Saccharomyces cerevisiae S288C: one gene and its partners. The protein of the gene in region 2 purifies or fractionates together with the protein of the main gene of each other region. This does not show direct contact. Each region holds a gene or a part of one and is shown on either strand. Other genes may lie near its edges.

The links.
Region 1: the proteins of YVH1 (region 2) and NMD3 purify together in Saccharomyces cerevisiae (affinity purification with western blotting; 7 studies listed by BioGRID, with this or other methods). This does not show direct contact.
Region 3: the proteins of YVH1 (region 2) and REI1 purify together in Saccharomyces cerevisiae (affinity purification with western blotting; 2 studies listed by BioGRID, with this or other methods). This does not show direct contact.

Annotation. Positions count from the first base shown.
Region 1 is NC_001140.6:442,066-446,040, reverse strand, and holds NMD3 (ribosome-binding protein NMD3), read right to left. Parts: upstream 2,214-3,975; coding exon 657-2,213; downstream 1-656. Other genes in the region: ATG7 (Atg7p), read right to left, coding at 1-328; ATP-dependent RNA helicase DBP8, read right to left, coding at 2,565-3,860. UniProt on the Saccharomyces cerevisiae protein: Acts as an adapter for the XPO1/CRM1-mediated export of the 60S ribosomal subunit. Unlikely to play a significant role in nonsense-mediated mRNA decay (NMD).
Region 2 is NC_001141.2:404,218-407,698, reverse strand, and holds YVH1 (tyrosine protein phosphatase YVH1), read left to right. Parts: upstream 1-1,731; coding exon 1,732-2,826; downstream 2,827-3,481. Other genes in the region: DAL1 (allantoinase), read left to right, coding at 57-1,439; MND2 (Mnd2p), read right to left, coding at 2,934-3,481. UniProt on the Saccharomyces cerevisiae protein: May be directly involved in signal transduction and/or cell cycle regulation. It is necessary for maintaining growth rate or spore germination. Could show both activity toward tyrosine-protein phosphate as well as with serine-protein phosphate.
Region 3 is NC_001134.8:737,913-741,678, forward strand, and holds REI1 (Rei1p), read left to right. Parts: upstream 1-1,928; coding exon 1,929-3,110; downstream 3,111-3,766. Other genes in the region: Rab family GTPase YPT10, read right to left, coding at 1-457; TSC10 (3-dehydrosphinganine reductase), read left to right, coding at 670-1,632; SLM6 (Slm6p), read right to left, coding at 2,024-2,476; mitochondrial 54S ribosomal protein mL54 MRPL37, read left to right, coding at 3,387-3,704. UniProt on the Saccharomyces cerevisiae protein: Pre-60S-associated factor involved in the cytoplasmic maturation of the 60S subunit. Involved in the dissociation and recycling of other late pre-60S factors like ARX1, TIF6 and ALB1 before newly synthesized large ribosomal subunits enter translation.

The DNA of each region.
Region 1 (3,975 bases), on a different chromosome or scaffold from region 2:
AGCATTCCAATGCTCTTTGATGTAAAAATAGTTGCTTATCAAGATTCTTAAACTCGTCTAATACATTAAAATTGAAAATACTGCCCTGTAAAGGCACTTCATTAGTACGCTTATTATTGTGTTTTTCAAAGCTTCTATTTGTTAAGAATAATGGAACTTGATCAGCAGATTTAGGAATGTTGTGTAAATCTAGATTCACAGTAAGTGGTTGGCATGTTGAATCTAATTTCAGAACATCGAGTTTCAATCTCGATAATTCTTGGAAAAAAGATGTATCCAGAAATGATTTAAAAGCTGGTGCATAACTTAAGACCCTTTCTGACGACATTTTATTCTTGATTATCTTATATTTGTTGAAATATAATGAACTTTAGTTATCTAAGTAGCATCGTAAAATAATGAGTTCCCTTAATTTTTTTGTTTTGCCGTGCCGGAAAGGGTGTCCAAAGGAATCTCATGGATTAAAAAAGCGGAAGTTTAAAAATCTTGCGTAAGAGCTCTACAAATGAAAAATCTTGCTTGCCTATCTAGTTTTCAACATGTGGTGGCTTGTTCTTCCATAAAGTACATTTTACATCCATATATATGTATATAGATAAACTGAAATGCTAGTGTTTGTTAAGAGTATATACTACTCTCCATTCTTTGGTGTTTTTTTACTGCTGAGATTCAACGGGTGTGTTCTCGACTCCATCTTCTAATGTCATTTCATCTAACTCGTCCAATAATTCATCAATGTTGATTTGTGGAGCGTCTTCATCCTCGTCTTCATCCATTTCATGCTCTTCAGGAGGTACATTTGCTTCGCGGTTTTTGTATAGGTTAACACTTTGTCTTAATTCAGCATCCTCTTCTAATTCTTGTAAGAATAATTCGTAGTCCTTTTCTGCACGTTCCATTTCTTGCTTTTGAGCTCTTGAATTGTAATCTAAGGATGCATCGATATCTTTGTGTTCCTTAGCCATTCTCTTTAACTTCCAGTGTCTGCTCTTTTTGCTCTTTCTTTGATACAATTTCTTCACAAGAACTACATCAGGCACATAATCGATATTTAACCCATCAAAAAGATCTGAGTTGTAATTCGAGTTTGCAATGAAATAACCCATAACACTATCACCTGCATGGCAAATACCACCGAGATGAGACCTGACGTAGTAGACTTGGTCATTAACACCCAAGTCAGACGTTCTAGCAACAGTAATGTCAGCTAAGACACGATTTCCCCTGCTTATACCTGTAGAATCCACGTCCAGAACAATGAACTCCACCAACTGGGTCACATCAGCCAGGGCGTTGAATGGAGCCCTCCAGTACACAGATGGTGACAGATCCGCGGTTTGCAAAGTAGTCGGATCCATAAACTGGACAGTGTTAGAAATCTTAGAACATAGAACAAATTGAGAAATGTTACCCATAGATTTAGCCAGTTTTTTTGGTAAAACGACCAAGTCATCTTTACAGATAGGAACAATCTCGACAGAATATGAAAATTTATAAGTAGATGCACCAGTATGTGTATCTTGAGAAATAAGTTCTTCAGACTTTTTATGTTTAATCGGAACAACAGCGTTCAAAAAATCAATCATCTTAACTGCGTGGTTTTTTTGCGCATAGAAGAAATCCAACCCGTCCTTAGCTTCACTAATGGAAATGGTATCCACATGAGCATTATGTTTCAAAATCAGTTGTTCCAAAAACAAAAATGTTCTCTTGTGAGGCACTTTTTGTCTAATTTGGACAGTAGCCCTCCAAGTATTTGTAGTGTAGGATCTGGCACAGTCTGGACATTGCATCGCAATAACAATGTATTCTACTTCGAAAGTTTGCTGAATAATAGTATTTGTCATGGCTTCTCCCTGCACGGTAAGTTTAATTCTAATACGTCTAGAATGGGGTTCTGTCCAAATGAATGAAGCATCCACTAATCTGACTTTTGTTAGGCCCTTCAAACGACGCAAACAAATGGCCAGTAATTCTCTAGATTCTAATTCTGCTCTGATCCATTGTCCAGGTGGTTGCAAAAATCTTTCACAGTTTCTGCAAAATGAAATGTTCGCTTCTCTTGGAATACCTTGAGTAATGTCCACAGTCAGTTTGATACAGTCATAACACATAACCAGCCCAGTGGACCCATCGATTGGGGTACCACAGTTACAACATAGAAGAGTAGCAGCATTTTGGTGCTGGTGCGGATCTATAGGTGTGAATTCCATCCTTTTGTCAAATTCCTCAACGTTTATTAGACAATAAAATGTAGTGTTATGTACCAGGCGACAAATAAAAGATAAAGCCAAGGTTCCTCAAAACATAGTTAAATCATCACAACTGCTAGTAATTTTTCTTTTCCAATGCGATGAGCTTCAAAAAATTTTCCAACTACAAGAGAAAAAGAAAAAAAAATAAGTTACCCGTCGGTGATTGTACGTAATTGAATTTACAGCGATTTTCTCACCCGTTATATAGAAACATACTTCATATGTGCCAAAATTGTATCTATCAGTTGTCCTGGAAAACAGTATCCAGATTGTACGATATGTACGTCTTTAAATCTTATTTAGAATTTTTCAAGAGCGCAAACTTTTCCCGTCATTTTGCTTCTTCTTTTGCTGTCTTTTTCTCTCACCGAAGTTTTCCTTTTGCATTGCCATCAGCGATTCCCTCTTCGCCTTGGTTACCTTGGTCAAGGCTTTTCTTATTACAGCGGTATCGTGTACCTTGTTTGTCTCTGTCATCTTCTTGTTGATACGGTCCTCAATGGCCTGTATCCTAGAAACATCTCGCTGGGTAACGAATGATATGGCGTCACCAATTCTGCCAGCACGGGCCGTACGACCAGATCTATGGATGAATACATCTGGGTCTGAAGGTATATCGTAATTCACTACAAGCTCAACAGTTGGGATATCCAAACCTCTGGATGCTACATCTGTAGCGATGAGGATTCTTGCAGCGTTAGCTCGAAATCTATGTAAGGAATTTGTTCTTTCCTGTTGGGGCATTTGAGAGTGCAACGACGCTACCCTCACTTCCAACTGCTTCAGGGTTCTTCTAAGGATCTCCGCGGTCATTGTTCTATTTACAAATATTATAGCGGTTTTATTCTCATATTCCTCGCATGTTAATAATTGGTACAAATATGCTTCTTTGACGTGTTCTGGAACCAAGATATACTCTATTTTCAACGTCGATGGAATAGCCACATTATCTACACTTTCTACTTGGTAAGCGAACAATGGGGGTTTCCCTTTCTGCACTGGTGCATTTTGTAACGACTTTACTTGGTCCGTTATAGTTGCAGTGAATAGAAGTGTTTGTCTCTTATCCTTGGGAGGTAGAGCACTTATACATGTTGCTAAATGATCGGCAAACGTGCTAGTTAGCAAAATATCGGCTTCATCTAGAACTAAATATTTAGCTCTCATTAGCCCTCCAACGGTATCATCTCCGCTGCTCATGATATGATGTGCCAGACGTCCAGGCGTGGCAATAATAAAGTGCGGCTTCCTTTGTAAATCCAATGCCTGCTGAACGATGCTTTCACCACCAACTATAACTGACACGCGAATGTTCATACTGCTACCAAGTGCAGTAAATTGTTCGGCAATTTGCATGGCTAACTCTCTGGTTGGGGTCAAGACCACTCCAAACATCCCTGACGGATCTTCGGACCATTTAGTCAGCATAGGCCCTGCAAATGCAATAGTTTTACCAGAACCAGTCTTGGCACCACCAATACAATCTCTTCCTTCTAAGATTTTGGGAATACAAGCCTTTTGGATAGCGGTTGGCTGAGTAATTTTCATAGCTCTTAAGGATTCCGTAAGCCATTTTGAAAGACCTAAAGATTTAAAGTCTGCCATCTTGAAAAGTTTCTGATATGATGCTACGGAGATCTAAAGCGTCTGTATTATACGACTGATAATATTCCTATACAATTATTTATTCAAAAACTAAGTAAATTGCCAGTTTATATTT
Region 2 (3,481 bases):
TATATTTCGCAAAAACGTATAGGCAAAAAAAAAGTGAAATACTGCGAAGAACAAAGATGCCTATCAATGCCATCACTTCCGACCATGTCATTATCAATGGTGCAAATAAACCTGCGACTATTGTGTATTCGACCGAATCAGGCACGATTCTGGATGTTTTAGAAGGCTCCGTGGTTATGGAGAAAACTGAGATAACCAAATATGAAATACATACGCTGGAGAACGTATCTCCATGTACAATTCTGCCTGGACTTGTGGACTCTCATGTTCACTTGAACGAGCCCGGTAGGACTAGCTGGGAAGGATTCGAAACTGGAACTCAAGCTGCTATTAGTGGCGGGGTCACAACGGTGGTTGATATGCCGCTAAATGCTATTCCTCCCACAACAAATGTGGAGAATTTCCGAATTAAATTGGAAGCTGCTGAGGGCCAAATGTGGTGCGATGTTGGGTTTTGGGGTGGACTGGTACCACACAACTTGCCAGACTTAATTCCGCTTGTCAAAGCTGGCGTTCGCGGGTTCAAAGGATTCTTGCTTGATTCTGGTGTGGAAGAATTCCCTCCAATTGGCAAAGAATATATAGAAGAAGCCTTGAAGGTCTTAGCCGAGGAGGATACCATGATGATGTTTCATGCTGAGTTGCCCAAGGCACATGAGGACCAACAGCAACCCGAGCAAAGCCATCGTGAATATTCTTCGTTTTTGTCCTCGAGGCCGGATTCTTTCGAAATAGACGCCATCAATTTGATTCTCGAATGCTTGAGAGCCAGAAATGGACCAGTTCCTCCTGTACATATAGTTCATCTGGCATCAATGAAAGCAATTCCCTTGATCAGAAAGGCACGTGCGTCAGGGCTACCAGTCACAACAGAGACTTGTTTCCACTATTTGTGTATTGCTGCAGAGCAGATCCCAGACGGAGCCACCTACTTTAAATGTTGTCCACCCATCCGCTCTGAGTCTAATCGCCAAGGCCTATGGGACGCTTTGCGTGAAGGTGTTATAGGCTCAGTAGTGAGCGACCATTCGCCATGCACCCCTGAGTTGAAGAACTTGCAAAAAGGTGACTTTTTCGATTCTTGGGGAGGAATCGCTTCCGTCGGACTAGGTTTGCCATTGATGTTTACCCAAGGCTGCTCTTTGGTCGATATCGTTACATGGTGCTGTAAAAATACATCCCATCAGGTAGGACTATCTCACCAAAAAGGCACTATAGCTCCCGGGTACGATGCTGATTTGGTGGTATTTGATACTGCAAGTAAACATAAAATAAGTAATTCAAGTGTCTACTTCAAAAACAAATTGACTGCCTACAACGGGATGACGGTCAAGGGCACAGTTTTGAAAACCATATTAAGAGGCCAGGTGGTATATACGAATGCCAACGGAGTCTCGAAAACACCATTGGGTCAAACTTTGCTTGATTCTAGACGTTAAACTAAAGTTGCAAATTTTTATTAAAGAAATTCTATAGAAATAAAAGAAACAAATTTATAAAAAGTTATTTACACACATACATATATTAACCACTCTTAGTTTGAGATGACACAACTTTTAATGATCTACAATATATCCATCTGGGTCTCCACGGCTGCAATTTTGAAATTTTCTTAGCGCTAAAAAAAAGAAATCTAACTGAAAAAAAAAATTATACCTCAGCTCATCGAATGCATCTAATACAGGTATAACGCAGAGAAAGCAGTAAAAGCAGCAAGAAATTACAGGGAAGATGGCTGGAAATGCAAACTCAGTAGACGAGGAAGTTACCAGGATATTAGGAGGCATATATCTTGGCGGAATCCGTCCAATTATTGACCACAGACCATTGGGTGCAGAATTTAACATTACTCATATTCTTTCTGTTATCAAATTCCAGGTCATTCCAGAGTATCTAATAAGGAAAGGTTACACGCTAAAAAACATACCCATCGATGATGATGATGTGACTGATGTGCTGCAATACTTCGATGAAACGAACCGATTCATTGATCAATGCTTGTTCCCCAATGAAGTTGAGTATTCGCCCAGATTAGTAGATTTCAAGAAGAAACCACAACGTGGTGCTGTTTTTGCTCATTGTCAAGCAGGACTCTCGAGATCTGTAACCTTCATAGTAGCCTACCTAATGTATCGTTATGGATTGTCACTATCAATGGCTATGCACGCTGTCAAGAGGAAGAAACCGAGTGTTGAGCCAAACGAGAATTTCATGGAACAATTACATCTCTTTGAGAAAATGGGTGGAGATTTTGTCGATTTCGACAACCCAGCCTATAAGCAGTGGAAGCTGAAGCAATCTATCAAGTTAGATCCATCGGGCAGCGAATTGGTCTCCAATTCTGGAATGTTTAAAGATTCGGAGTCGTCGCAAGACTTGGATAAATTAACTGAAGCTGAGAAGAGCAAGGTCACCGCAGTGAGATGTAAGAAGTGCAGAACCAAATTGGCGTTATCTACATCTTTCATCGCGCATGACCCACCAAGTAAGGAATCATCAGAGGGACACTTCATCAAGAGGGCCGCCAACTCCCATCGTATTATTGATATTCAAGAGTCACAAGCAAATTGCTCTCATTTTTTCATCGAACCTTTAAAATGGATGCAACCTGAACTACAAGGCAAGCAAGAGTTAGAAGGGAAGTTTTCATGTCCAGGCTGTTCAAGTAAAGTTGGCGGTTACAACTGGAAAGGATCTAGGTGCAGTTGTGGTAAGTGGGTCATCCCCGCTATCCACCTGCAAACTAGTAAAGTGGATCAATTTCCCTTACAATCCACTGCTTTGCCCAACATGGTTAATTTTGAATCCGAGAAAGTAAATAGATAACTTAGATATAATCAGCAAATATAACTACCACTAAGCACTTTTGGTGCACTTGTGTATGTATACATCTTAATAGATAGATGAATTTTGGTGCTGAGGAGAGCATTTTTCTAATCTTGACCTCGTTGCTGCCTGGCTCGTCTCTCCATTAATTCATCTAAACTAGTTATCCTCTCCCTAGTCCAATTCCTCCAATTACTCGCTAGATCAGGTGTAATCCCACCATAAGAAGTCGGCTCTTGGCTGTATTCGCTATTATAATCATGCTCTCTTCCCACGTCATCTTCAAAATCCGGATTCATGTCCAGTTCTACCTTTGAATCTTCTCCGTCGTTATCACTGTCAATATCATATGGGTTTCTATCTAAATGATGAGCCTCTTCCACAAACTGTTGTAGGGAGCGTGACAGTGAAGTGGGTCTCATTAATAAGTCATCCGGCACAATTCTCTCTCTCTGAACTTCTATACCTTCCACACCTTCCCCCGGCACTTCTCCCTCCTCATTATCATCCTCATCTACAACATGATCGAACTCTGCATCATAATCGTATGATATTTCATCCTCCTCTGATACTTCCTCATTTTGCGAATTATTAGCACTGTTATTCGCAAGTATGGCCATACTGTCATTTGGCATGCTATGCAATCCTGTAACAC
Region 3 (3,766 bases), on a different chromosome or scaffold from region 2:
TCTTTGCACTTACGGCCACATACGGCAGACCCTGTAACTCCGCCGGTATAGTCACTTCCCCTGAATGCTCTTCGCAGACTAAATCGTACTTATTGCCCACGATAATTACCTGCGTTCCCTGAGCACGGTCCTGTAAATCTTGAAACCATGTCTTTGCACATTGCAGACTGGATACGTCTCCCAATTCGAATACAATCAAAGCAATATTCGCATCTCGATAATACATTGGCACCAGTGATTTATACCGTTCCTGACCCGCCGTGTCCCATATCTCCATATGGATACGTTTCTCCGTAGAGGAGTCGTTAGAAGGAACCTCGATTGTCTTGGTGATGAACGCCGCACCTATCGTAGCCGCATGTTTTGCTAGAAACTTACCTGATTTGAGCCTAGTCACTATACTGGTTTTCCCCACTGATGAATCTCCTAGCAGTACCACTTTGATGGTTGCTTCCATATCGTATTCCTCCGTATTTTGTGCTACTTGTATTTCCTGGAGTAATTTTACTATCATTGTTCCTTAACGTGAAACGTAAGGCTAAAAAACAATAAACGACAAAAAAAAAACAAAAAAATGAAAAATGCAGAGGAGTTTCTCTGCATTTACTGGAAGCGATTAAATAAGATTGCCTCAAGAAAAGAAGTTATCGGTATAATCTTTTGTAGGTAATGAAGTTTACGTTAGAAGACCAAGTTGTGTTGATCACTGGTGGTTCACAAGGTCTTGGAAAGGAATTCGCCAAAAAATATTATAATGAGGCTGAAAACACAAAGATTATTATCGTCAGTAGGTCAGAGGCTAGACTGCTGGACACATGCAACGAAATTAGGATTGAAGCTCACCTGAGAAGGGAAACCACTGACGAGGGCCAAGTGCAACATAAGTTGGCTGCGCCCTTGGACCTTGAGCAACGGTTATTTTACTACCCATGCGACTTGTCCTGCTACGAATCCGTGGAATGTTTGTTCAATGCCCTGAGAGACTTGGATTTACTCCCTACACAAACGTTATGCTGTGCAGGGGGGGCTGTTCCTAAGTTATTTCGTGGGCTAAGCGGACATGAGTTGAACTTGGGTATGGACATCAACTATAAAACAACTTTGAACGTGGCACATCAGATTGCCCTTGCAGAGCAAACCAAGGAACACCACCTCATCATCTTTTCTAGTGCCACCGCGCTTTACCCATTTGTGGGCTATTCCCAGTATGCGCCTGCAAAAGCTGCAATCAAATCACTGGTAGCAATCTTAAGACAAGAACTGACGAACTTCCGTATCAGTTGTGTTTATCCTGGTAATTTTGAAAGCGAAGGTTTCACTGTAGAGCAGCTAACGAAACCCGAAATTACAAAGTTGATCGAAGGCCCCTCAGACGCTATCCCATGCAAACAAGCATGTGATATCATTGCCAAGTCGCTGGCCAGAGGTGATGATGACGTTTTTACAGATTTTGTCGGATGGATGATAATGGGGATGGACCTTGGGCTCACCGCAAAGAAAAGCCGCTTTGTTCCGTTGCAATGGATTTTTGGTGTCCTATCAAACATTCTGGTCGTGCCATTCTACATGGTTGGCTGTTCCTGGTATATCAGGAAATGGTTTCGTGAAAATGACGGCAAGAAGGCCAACTGAGAGCACATCCACTCTCATTCCCGATATTCCCCGTGACTCTCTTTATTTCTTTCAAGACAAACCCTAGTGGTGTAGCTATTTGTACATGTATAAGTATATACGAAATATTAATTATAACATTATTACCACGGCGATATTTTCCTATTTTTATTCTCTTTTCTTACTATATTTTGAAAGTTTTTCTTATGGGTACCGATGCGATGAGGTGAAAAAAATTTTCCTCTTTCCACTTTTAGTACAGGTTATGAGATGCTTCTCATTAGAAGTCAAGAAGAGAGCATATCAGTAACAATACGATGAGTAGCAGTGGTGTTTATACGTGTAATTCATGTGTCCTGACCTTTGATTCAAGCGACGAGCAGCGGGCCCACATGAAGTCCGATTGGCATCGCTACAATTTGAAAAGACGTGTTGCACAATTGCCACCAATATCATTTGAGACATTTGACTCCAAAGTGTCTGCAGCTGCTGCCAGTACTAGTAAGTCTGCTGAAAAGGAGAAACCTGTTACCAAAAAGGAGTTGAAAAGAAGGGAAAAGCAAGCATTGCTCGAAAAGAAAAAGAAACTGTTGGAAATTGCCAGGGCTAATATGCTTGAAAACATGCAAAAGAGCCAAGAGGGAAATACTCCCGACCTAAGCAAGCTCTCTTTGCAAGAAAATGAGGAGAACAAGGAAAAGGAAGAACCTAAGAAGGAGGAGCCTGAACAGTTGACCGAGGAAGAAATGGCGGAAAGAGTAATGCAAGAAAAGCTACGCAACAGAGTCGATATTCCACTGGAACAATGTCTATTTTGTGAGCACAATAAGCACTTCAAAGATGTTGAAGAAAACCTGGAACACATGTTTAGGACCCACGGGTTTTATATCCCAGAACAGAAATATCTAGTCGACAAGATCGGCTTGGTAAAATACATGTCGGAGAAGATTGGTCTTGGGAACATTTGTATTGTTTGTAATTACCAGGGGAGAACGTTGACCGCTGTAAGACAGCACATGTTGGCAAAGAGACACTGTAAAATTCCCTACGAAAGCGAGGATGAAAGGTTGGAGATATCTGAATTCTACGATTTTACAAGCTCATACGCAAACTTTAATAGCAACACAACACCAGACAACGAAGATGACTGGGAAGACGTGGGCAGCGACGAAGCCGGAAGCGACGACGAAGATCTGCCACAAGAGTACTTATATAACGATGGTATAGAGCTGCATCTACCGACAGGCATCAAAGTTGGCCACAGGTCCTTGCAAAGATACTACAAGCAAGACTTAAAGCCCGAGGTGATACTGACCGAAGGCCAAGGTACCCTGGTCGCTGCAGAGACGAGATCGTTCTTACCTGCCTTCGACAAAAAGGGCGTGCAGACTCAACAGCGTGTTTGGCAAACTGAGAGGTTCGACAAGAAAAGGCTCGATAAGAGAAGTGCCAAGTTCGTCAATAACCAACCACACTACAGAGACCAACTTCTGCAGTAATTCTTTTTGCACTACTTTTTTTAGTATTTTGTCGCATATATACTGCTTCACCATTTGTACATTAGATAATTCTTCACTACCCCCTCTATAGCAATGTTATAGTCATTGAATCATGCTTTGAAATGCCTGTTCTAATATTCTCTTCATATAATAAATGCGTGATGCCGGGTATTTGTGCGCCCTTGTTTGGCGCAAAAATCTCGAAAGTGAAAAAACTAATAGGCTTCTTAAAGCAGTTATATCTACAGCAAAGGAAATAGCTGCTGAAGACTGAAGATGTTGGCGCGCAGTTTGGGTTACAGGTTGATATCGACCAGTCGTATCTTATATAATAAACCCACGGTTAAGTCAGTGGTGTCGTCGTGTCCTGCGGGAACATCGCTTAACTTAAACATATGGAAGAGCGGTAAAGACGCAGTGGCACTCGAGGACAAGGAGTATCCAAATTGGTTATGGAGCGTATTGGATAGTGATCACGTTGTCGAACATGCGGCTGAGGACCCAGAGGGACAGGCTCTCTTAAAGAGAAGAAAGAACATAAGGAAGGCGAACAGGCAGCGAATCAAGCAAAACAATTTCTTGAGCCAACTTTAAGCCTCCGTTAATAAGATCAAGTTTGGTATCCTTGTAAATAAATATGTGTGTACGTGGTTAAA